Linked DNA regions of Nothobranchius furzeri. The protein of the gene in region 1 interacts with the protein of each later gene in a pairwise test. Links are inferred from orthologs where the notes say so. Each region holds a gene or a part of one and is shown in the gene's direction. Other genes may lie near its edges.

The links. The genes of interacting proteins can lie anywhere in the genome.
Region 2: the proteins of mid2 (region 1) and neuronal migration protein doublecortin interact in binary tests that used the Homo sapiens proteins (3 or more experiments, as listed by UniProt). The two-hybrid records come from large-scale screens. The link is inferred for Nothobranchius furzeri from reciprocal best matches to the Homo sapiens genes MID2 and DCX.

Annotation. Positions count from the first base shown.
Region 1 is NC_091741.1:89,376,263-89,380,279, reverse strand, and holds the start of mid2 (probable E3 ubiquitin-protein ligase MID2), read left to right. Parts: upstream 1-1,216; 5' UTR 1,217-1,353; intron 1,354-4,017. UniProt on the Homo sapiens protein: E3 ubiquitin ligase that plays a role in microtubule stabilization. Mediates the 'Lys-48'-linked polyubiquitination of LRRK2 to drive its localization to microtubules and its proteasomal degradation in neurons.
Region 2 is NC_091750.1:46,837,310-46,840,827, reverse strand, and holds part of neuronal migration protein doublecortin, read left to right. Parts: intron 1-770; 5' UTR 771-833; coding exon 834-1,197; intron 1,198-3,518. UniProt on the Homo sapiens protein: Microtubule-associated protein required for initial steps of neuronal dispersion and cortex lamination during cerebral cortex development. May act by competing with the putative neuronal protein kinase DCLK1 in binding to a target protein.

The DNA of each region.
Region 1 (4,017 bases):
GAAAGGTATCATGTTTGATCCCGGCTCTGGACAGAGAATTCTGCTGTTGTGTCCTTGGGCAAGACACTTAGCCCACCTTACCTGCTGGTGGTGGTCGGAGGGACCGGTGGCACCTGTTTTTGGCAGCCTCGCCTCTGTCAGTGCGCCCCAGGGCAGCTGTGGTTACATCGTAACTCATCACCATCAGTGTATGAATGTGTGTGTGAATGGATGAATGATACATTGTAGTGTAAAGCGCTTTGGAGTCCTTACTCTGAGAGGTGCTGTACAAGTGTGGGTCATTTATCATTTAAACTGTAATTCTATCTGTGTGTATTTTACTTTGTGTTTTTATGTGTTTTCATACCATGTCCTGATAATTGTAAAACACATTGAATTGCCTCTGTGTTTGAAATGTGCTCTAAATAAAGCTGCCTTGCCTTTTGCTGGGCAGTGTACTAATCAGCTAGTTGTTATTCTTCTGAGATTCTTATATTTTGTCCTCTTTATCAATTCGATAGGCAACGTTTAATTTTAACTGAAAAAATGGTTTCAAAAACTGTCAGAATTCCTGACAGTCTTCCCGTTCCGCTCTCTCCTTTTCCAGGTGAAGCTGTGACGCAGGGGCTATGGATGGTGATGATATTAGTGTATCACTTGTTTGGGTCTCAACCTCACTCATCTGTTACTGAATAGGTTCAAACATCGATGCTGTTTCTATGGAGCCACTTGACCCAGTAAAACTAACAGTTTTATTATAAAGATAAAGTTTCTTCTAGGACGCTTAAATCGGAATCGTGATCAGTTCGTTTCATCCAACTTTACAAGCCAAAAAATGTTTTTTTTCTTATTCACTTTATTTGTTCAACTGATCATTTTAAATTTGAAGCTATAATCCTGACAGCGACAGACGCTGAGGCGGGATGATGTGTGGAAGAAGAGTGTGGGTGCGCACGGCTCGGGTTTGTTGCGCGGCCACTGGAGCAGCGGTGAAACTGATCCCAGCTGCTACTGTTGGAGGGGGAGGAGGGGTGAGGAAATCTATTCCAGTCCCCTGTGGGTTGGTCACGTGCCCTCGTTTGGTTTGGGGGAACCGCGTCAGGAGGGAGAGGAGGAGGAAGCGCGCAGCTGCGCACAGCTGAGTTGGAAAAGCAACATCCTTCAGAAGCGGGTCCAGAAGATCCACATCAGTTGTTTTGTTGTTGTTTTGGGGCGTTGTCACGCGGTGTCTGCTGATACGCTGACACAACGCGTGTGATCACTGTGGCACTGCCTCGTTGAAACTTCTCTGCTCACGAAAACTACCATCCTGTCAGCGCCTGCCACAAGTCGACCTCCAGAAACACAGAGGGAGAGCTGTCACCGGGGACCGAGGTAGGCTTTCTGTCTCTTCCTATGGGGGCTCGGGGTGTTTGGGCTTGAGAGAACCGGAGCTGGACGGGTAAGCAGTTTGTGTGTGTGTGTGTGTGTGTTTGTGTGTGTGTGTGTGTGTGTGTGTGTGTGTTTGTGTGTGTGTGTGTGTGTGTGTGTGTGTGTGTGTGTGTGTGTGTGTGTGTGTGTGTGTGTGTGTGTGTGTGTGAGTGCACACAACTGATGCAGAAAAACGTCTCAGATTAATCAGCAAATGTACTCAAGCAAATTTCTCATTAGTGGTAAATTTTACATCTAGTAGTAATTATCTCTTTGCGCATGTGTTAGATAGTCTACAGTGATATTAGGATGTATTTAGCAACCTCTATTCATCGTTTTCCCCCAAGTGCCCTGCACTGATCAATAGTGACATTGTGTATTGATTGAGATGACATGACCTGAGCTGAACCCTGCTGTTAGCGCATTGTGGATGATACTTATTGACTTTTACTGTCAAAACTGTCAAATTTATGTTGTATTTTTATGTAAATAACAAAACTATAGATGTTATTGGATGATGAAGTAGTTGATCACTGAAATAGGATTTTTACCTTTTTGTGTTGGCTCCAGTGTTTTAACTGTTGAAGTAATGCTGCTGGTGACAGGAGACAAAAGCTGGTTTGAGTTTGGCCTCCAAAAAGCTGAGTCTAACATTCCCCCCCCCTCATTAATAATGCACCAATTTTAAACAATACAAATGCAGGGAAGCGGGGTCCAATGTCGAGTGTTGCTTCTCTCTATTTCTTATGTTTAGATGATGAATTCTCTATTAAATAAACTTTTCCTAATGTGAAGAGGACACATTCCATATGGGTGGTCAATGTCGATCAGCCATGGAGTAGAGCGTTGTGCTTAATGAACTGGTGTTTCGCCAGCTTCTAAAAAGTCATTTATGGGCCCGATCGTTCTTGCTCTCTTGTTGCTGGATGATCACAGCCTTTAATGAGACAGGTCTTTGTGCATGGGGCTTGACACTCTCTGAGACAAGGCTGCTAGTTGGGTGAATACAGCTGACACCCTCATCCGTCAGGCACCCACAGGGTGCTGCCTACTTTCTCACTCTATCCATTTACTGCCTCTTTCTCTCGTTTTCAGGCTTTCTTTCACTCCTGCGCTCTCCCACTGCACCCTCAGATGATAATTATTAAGACTTTATAATGATGACATGAGCAGTGAGGGTTTTTTCCCTTCTGTGGGGAGGAATGGGTGTTGGTGTCTACACGCTGGGATGATTATAGTTGTGACAGAGGGTTGGAAATCATTGCAGTTGAAGCATTGACTTCCTAGAATAGTTCAGCCAGGTATCTGTTTATCTCTGTGTTTGTTTCTGAAGCTGGAACTCTGTTCTCGGACAAAGCAAAGGAGGATCAGCCTTTTACCAAAGAAACATGTAAATATTAAACAATGTAAGATTTTAAAAAAGTACATGTTTTTATTTGTTTTGATTATTTGAGTTTTTGATTGTTAACTTGAGATGATAACGCTTAAAGAAAGATGCTTTACTACTTATAGGTTATGAATATGTAAAATACACACATAAAATACACACATAAAATACACAACAGCAGTAGCTCATGTGGTGGAGCGGGTTGTCCAGTAATAAGAAGGCTGCAGATTAAATCCCGGCTCTGACCAGAGATTGCTGCTGTTGTGTCCTTGGGCAAGACATTTAACCTGCCTTGCCTGCTGGTGGTGGTCAGAGGGACCGGTGGTGCTTGTGTTTGGCAGCCTCGCCTCCCTCAGTGAGCGCCAGGGTGGCTATGGCTATATTTTAGCTCATCGTCATCAGCGTGTGAATGGGTGAATGACTGATTGTGTTGTGAAGTACCTTGGGGGGTTGTAGAACCCTAAGAAGGTGCTAGGGTCTGTTTCTGAGCTGCAAGGCCTAGCTTGGTCCTTTGCAAGGCCAAGTGTCCACACTAGGGCTGGACAAAAGGATTATTTTTGTAATCAATTAATCTAGCGATACTTTTTTCGATGCTTCTAACTAATCTGTCAACTTAATTAGATTTCAATTCGATTAGATTATCGATTATTTCCCCATTATTTGACTTCTATAGCAATTTGAGTATTACTAATGTATGTATCTCAATGAAATAAACACACATTTCTTCATTTGAACACATTTTATTAAAAAAAATTCTAAAATAAAGTTGTTGTAGTAGTAGATGACGCACCTTATATCTATATGATCAACAATCTGGAGGAGCATGAAGTATAGAAAATAAGTTCAAACAGGATGAGGTATTACACTTTACAATCAAGAGTTCATTGTCATTTTGCTTTAGCAAGAACTTCAACAATGTTGGAATAGTGTCTACGACGGCCGTGACATTATCTTTAACATTTTTACTTTGGCCAATTTGCGCTCTCTCACATTTTCGGCTCTCGGCAACTCTCATAATCAGCATGTGCGCATTCAGAATTATTTTGCCAGCATGAGCCACAAATAAAAACCAACAAAACAGGTAACAGCTGCTGCTATTTGTTACCGCTATAGCAGCTTCAATGAGTTGAGGTTGAATGTTTTTCTCAGTGTGTGTGAGTGAGTGAATGAGACTGTGAGTGCGTGGGTCTGCTCGTGTGTGTGAGTGAGTGCATGTCTACGTGGGGGTGTTTGGATGGTAA
Region 2 (3,518 bases), on another chromosome or scaffold:
TGGACAAGTTTAGTGTAACTTTTTACAACTAAACCAAATATGTAGAGAGCCTTTCAGGACAGGAATGTGCTCTGTGATAACAGTCCTGGGTGGTCGGCTGTTTTCTGATCTTATTCATTCATCAGATATGTTCATGTAAAGAACAAAGTGGAACTTCCTGTAGGCCAGCTCAGCTCTTTAATGGAGGGATTTTTCAAAAGAAAATGCAGACAATGTCTTGAAATAAGCAGCTGCAGCTTTTCTTAAAACTCAGATTCTCAAACTACATCTTCTCTGCATCCTTCTGCTAGCAAAAGCTTTCCCTTTGGTCTGAGAAAGGATGTGTTCCTAAATCAAAATGCAGCTTTCAGCTTCGCCTGAATTCAGCTCCTAAAAGCTTCAGTCCAGAGAAGATGGGCGTTTCTTTGATCTGAACCAGGATCACAGATGATGATTTCTGATGTAATGAAATCTTGGATCATCTTCTTTTGGACAGATTCATAGAACATCTGTGTTTCTGATATTACATCTTTAGCATCTGTGGTGTCTAATATTGGTTAGGGTTACCCGCAGGTGTTTCTCTGCTCCAGGACACCTGACTGGGGGATGCTGAAGTGGTGGTTGAATCAGGTGTGTTGGAGCAGAGAAACAAATGCAGGATGGTGGCCCGGAGGACCAGGATTAGACTCTGCTGTGGTCTGATGGCTTGAATTGTTCATTTTTTGTATTTTTTTTAGCGAACCAAAGGCTTGTTGTCGTCCTAATGGATTACTGTTTCCTTCCTCTCCCAGATTCTCCACAACTGATCGCCACCTCATCCCTTTCCTTCACAGCCACCATCACTATAAGCCATCATGGAGCTAGACTTTGGACATTTTGATGAACGGGACAAGACATCCCGCACTCCACGGGGAGGACGCATGAATGGACTCCCCAGTCCCACGCACAGTGCCCACTGCAGTTTCTACCGCACACGCACCCTGCAGGCTCTCACCAACGAGAAGAAAGCCAAGAAGGTGCGCTTCTACCGCAACGGAGACCGCTACTTTAAGGGCATTGTGTACGCCGTGGCGAATGACCGGTTCCGCACCTTCGATTCCCTCCTGGCTGACCTCACACGCTCACTCGCCGACCACATCAACCTGCCGCAGGGCGTCCGCTTCATCTTCACCATTGACGGCTCACGCAAGATCTCTACCTTGGATGAGCTGGAGGAAGGTGAGATGATGTTTGTTTTCTGCCTCCACAGTCGTGCCTTCAGGCATTTAACTGTTTGAGGTGGTCCTACGGCCCAACGGACGGTCTGACAGACCATCTGTAGTTCATGTCCTCAGATAAAACTCTAATCATCGTCCTCCAGAGTCCTCTGAACACCGTGGCATCAGGACTTTTACACAGAAATAAAACTTCCATTTTTTAGGTATTTTTGTTTCACCTGAGGATTTATCATCAAAAACAAAAATTTCTTGCATTACTGAAAACATACATTTTTAATCAGCTGTTCATAAAAACTGTAATGATCATTAAAAACTGTATAATGGTCACATCAGAAGGTGTGGCCGTACAATCATTTATTGCAACTGATACAACCCAAACCTGCTTGAACTTTTGCCTAAAGGCATAAAACTCTGTAAAATCACAGCAAAGAGGTAATATTGACCATGAGAACAGACCATTAAAGAGTCACCTTCTAATCAACCTTTTTTTTCCTGATAAACTATATAAATGTGTGTCTAATCGTGCTGCAGACACGTGTGATCAATAGTTTTGCACTTTAGTGCATTTTAATTAAAAATTTAATTTTCTGCCTAAAACTGTCAGTGTTGTGCCGTTAGGTAAAAACTCTGCACTGTATTTGAATTTAAATCTGCCATCGCTATTGGCTAAGAGGTACCGTAGAATGTTAGCTGGTACCATATGATGTCACAATGTCGTGTGTGTGTGTGTGTGTGTGTGGGGGGGGGGGGTCATTTATTCTGCTTCCTCTTGTAGCGTGTAATTAATTGCTCAATCTCCTCTGCAGACTGTAATCCGGTTGTGATCCTTTTGTCTTTGCTGTAATTTCTCCTCATTTGGACTAATTGTTGCTGTCTGGATTCCTTTTGAGAATTTCCTCCTTCCTTCTGTCTCCCTGCTGAATTTATCTCTAAAACAAACCAAAGCAACCTGCAGCAAAGCCGAACAAAGAGATCAAGACCAGCTTTGAGTATTTGACAAGACATAAAATAAATGTTTCAATAGTCGGAGGACTGAAAATCCTTCTTAAAACAGAGTGCATGCTGGGTATTTTTATGCAAATCAAATCCAGCCGATCAATGGAAGCTTTAAACTCCAACCAGACTGAGTTGACATGTGACGACGTGTCTCTGCTGTATTCTAAGGCCAGCGTTTGCTGGAAGGCAGAAAATGTTGAGCTAATTTGCACACCGTGTCCTCGTGGGACATATTTACTCCTGTCAGCTCAAACCCAAATACATACAAGTGTTGCATGTTATGTTCCAGATTTCTCGAGTCTTATGCAGGGCTACTCAACACACACACATGTATGTATATATATATATTACACATAGATGGTGTTGCATTATCAATATTGCAGCACATCAGTAAATGTAACCAGTGAAATGAACCCTTTTTGCCATAAATGGCAGTTTTAATAGCTGAAAGTGAATGTTTCTCAGGTTATTGTGTAGAAATAAACAAAGGTGGGTGTGAGCATAGATGGTCTAGATTATTTCATCTAAAGTGAATAAAGCTGTCGGTCAAAACCTGAAATAAGTCTGGTCAGCTGCTGTTATGACGATTCGGGCGTATTTCTGTCTGGAACAGGAAAATGTCGCCTTCAAAATCAAATGGTCATCAGATATTTTGTTTAATATAAATGTAGTTGTGGACAGATGATGACTTTGCCTGGAGGAAACTCTGCCCTTCCCTGCAGCAGCGTGTCGCACAGCGTTCGTATTTAGAGGAAATGTTGGGATGTGGGCGGCTGGGATCTCTTTTCTAATCAGCTGGAAAAATGTGATGCATTAAATGAGATTTCATCAGGATTTCACATTTATGAGAAAGCACAACATTTAAATATGGCAAGCTGCTGACACGTGAGCCAGCATGGATTTGTTTAGACACGAGCAGGCCTACAAAAATAGGGAATAAGCAAAATAACGAGCGGTATGGAAATAAAAGTGGACAACAGTAAAATAGGTGGTTAGAATCAAGGATGGGTTGCTTTTCATTTATGGTCATTCAACCACAAACGGGCAGGTGTCCTCGAGATGAAAGGAACTCCGAAAACATCCGATGCATTTATTTCAAATTAAACTTGAAGGTTTATTCTGCTAGAATAACCCTTATCCTGATCCTCCTGCTTCTGTTTTAGTTTCAGACAATAAATCAACCAGAATATTATTTGGAGTTTATTTGTGATGATTATTTCTGTGAATTTGGTCAAATTAATGTTTTAATGAAGTTAAAGGAGCTTATCTGGATGAGCACAGATGTAATTTCAGATGTCCTCGATGGTTTCTGGAGGTCTAAATGTT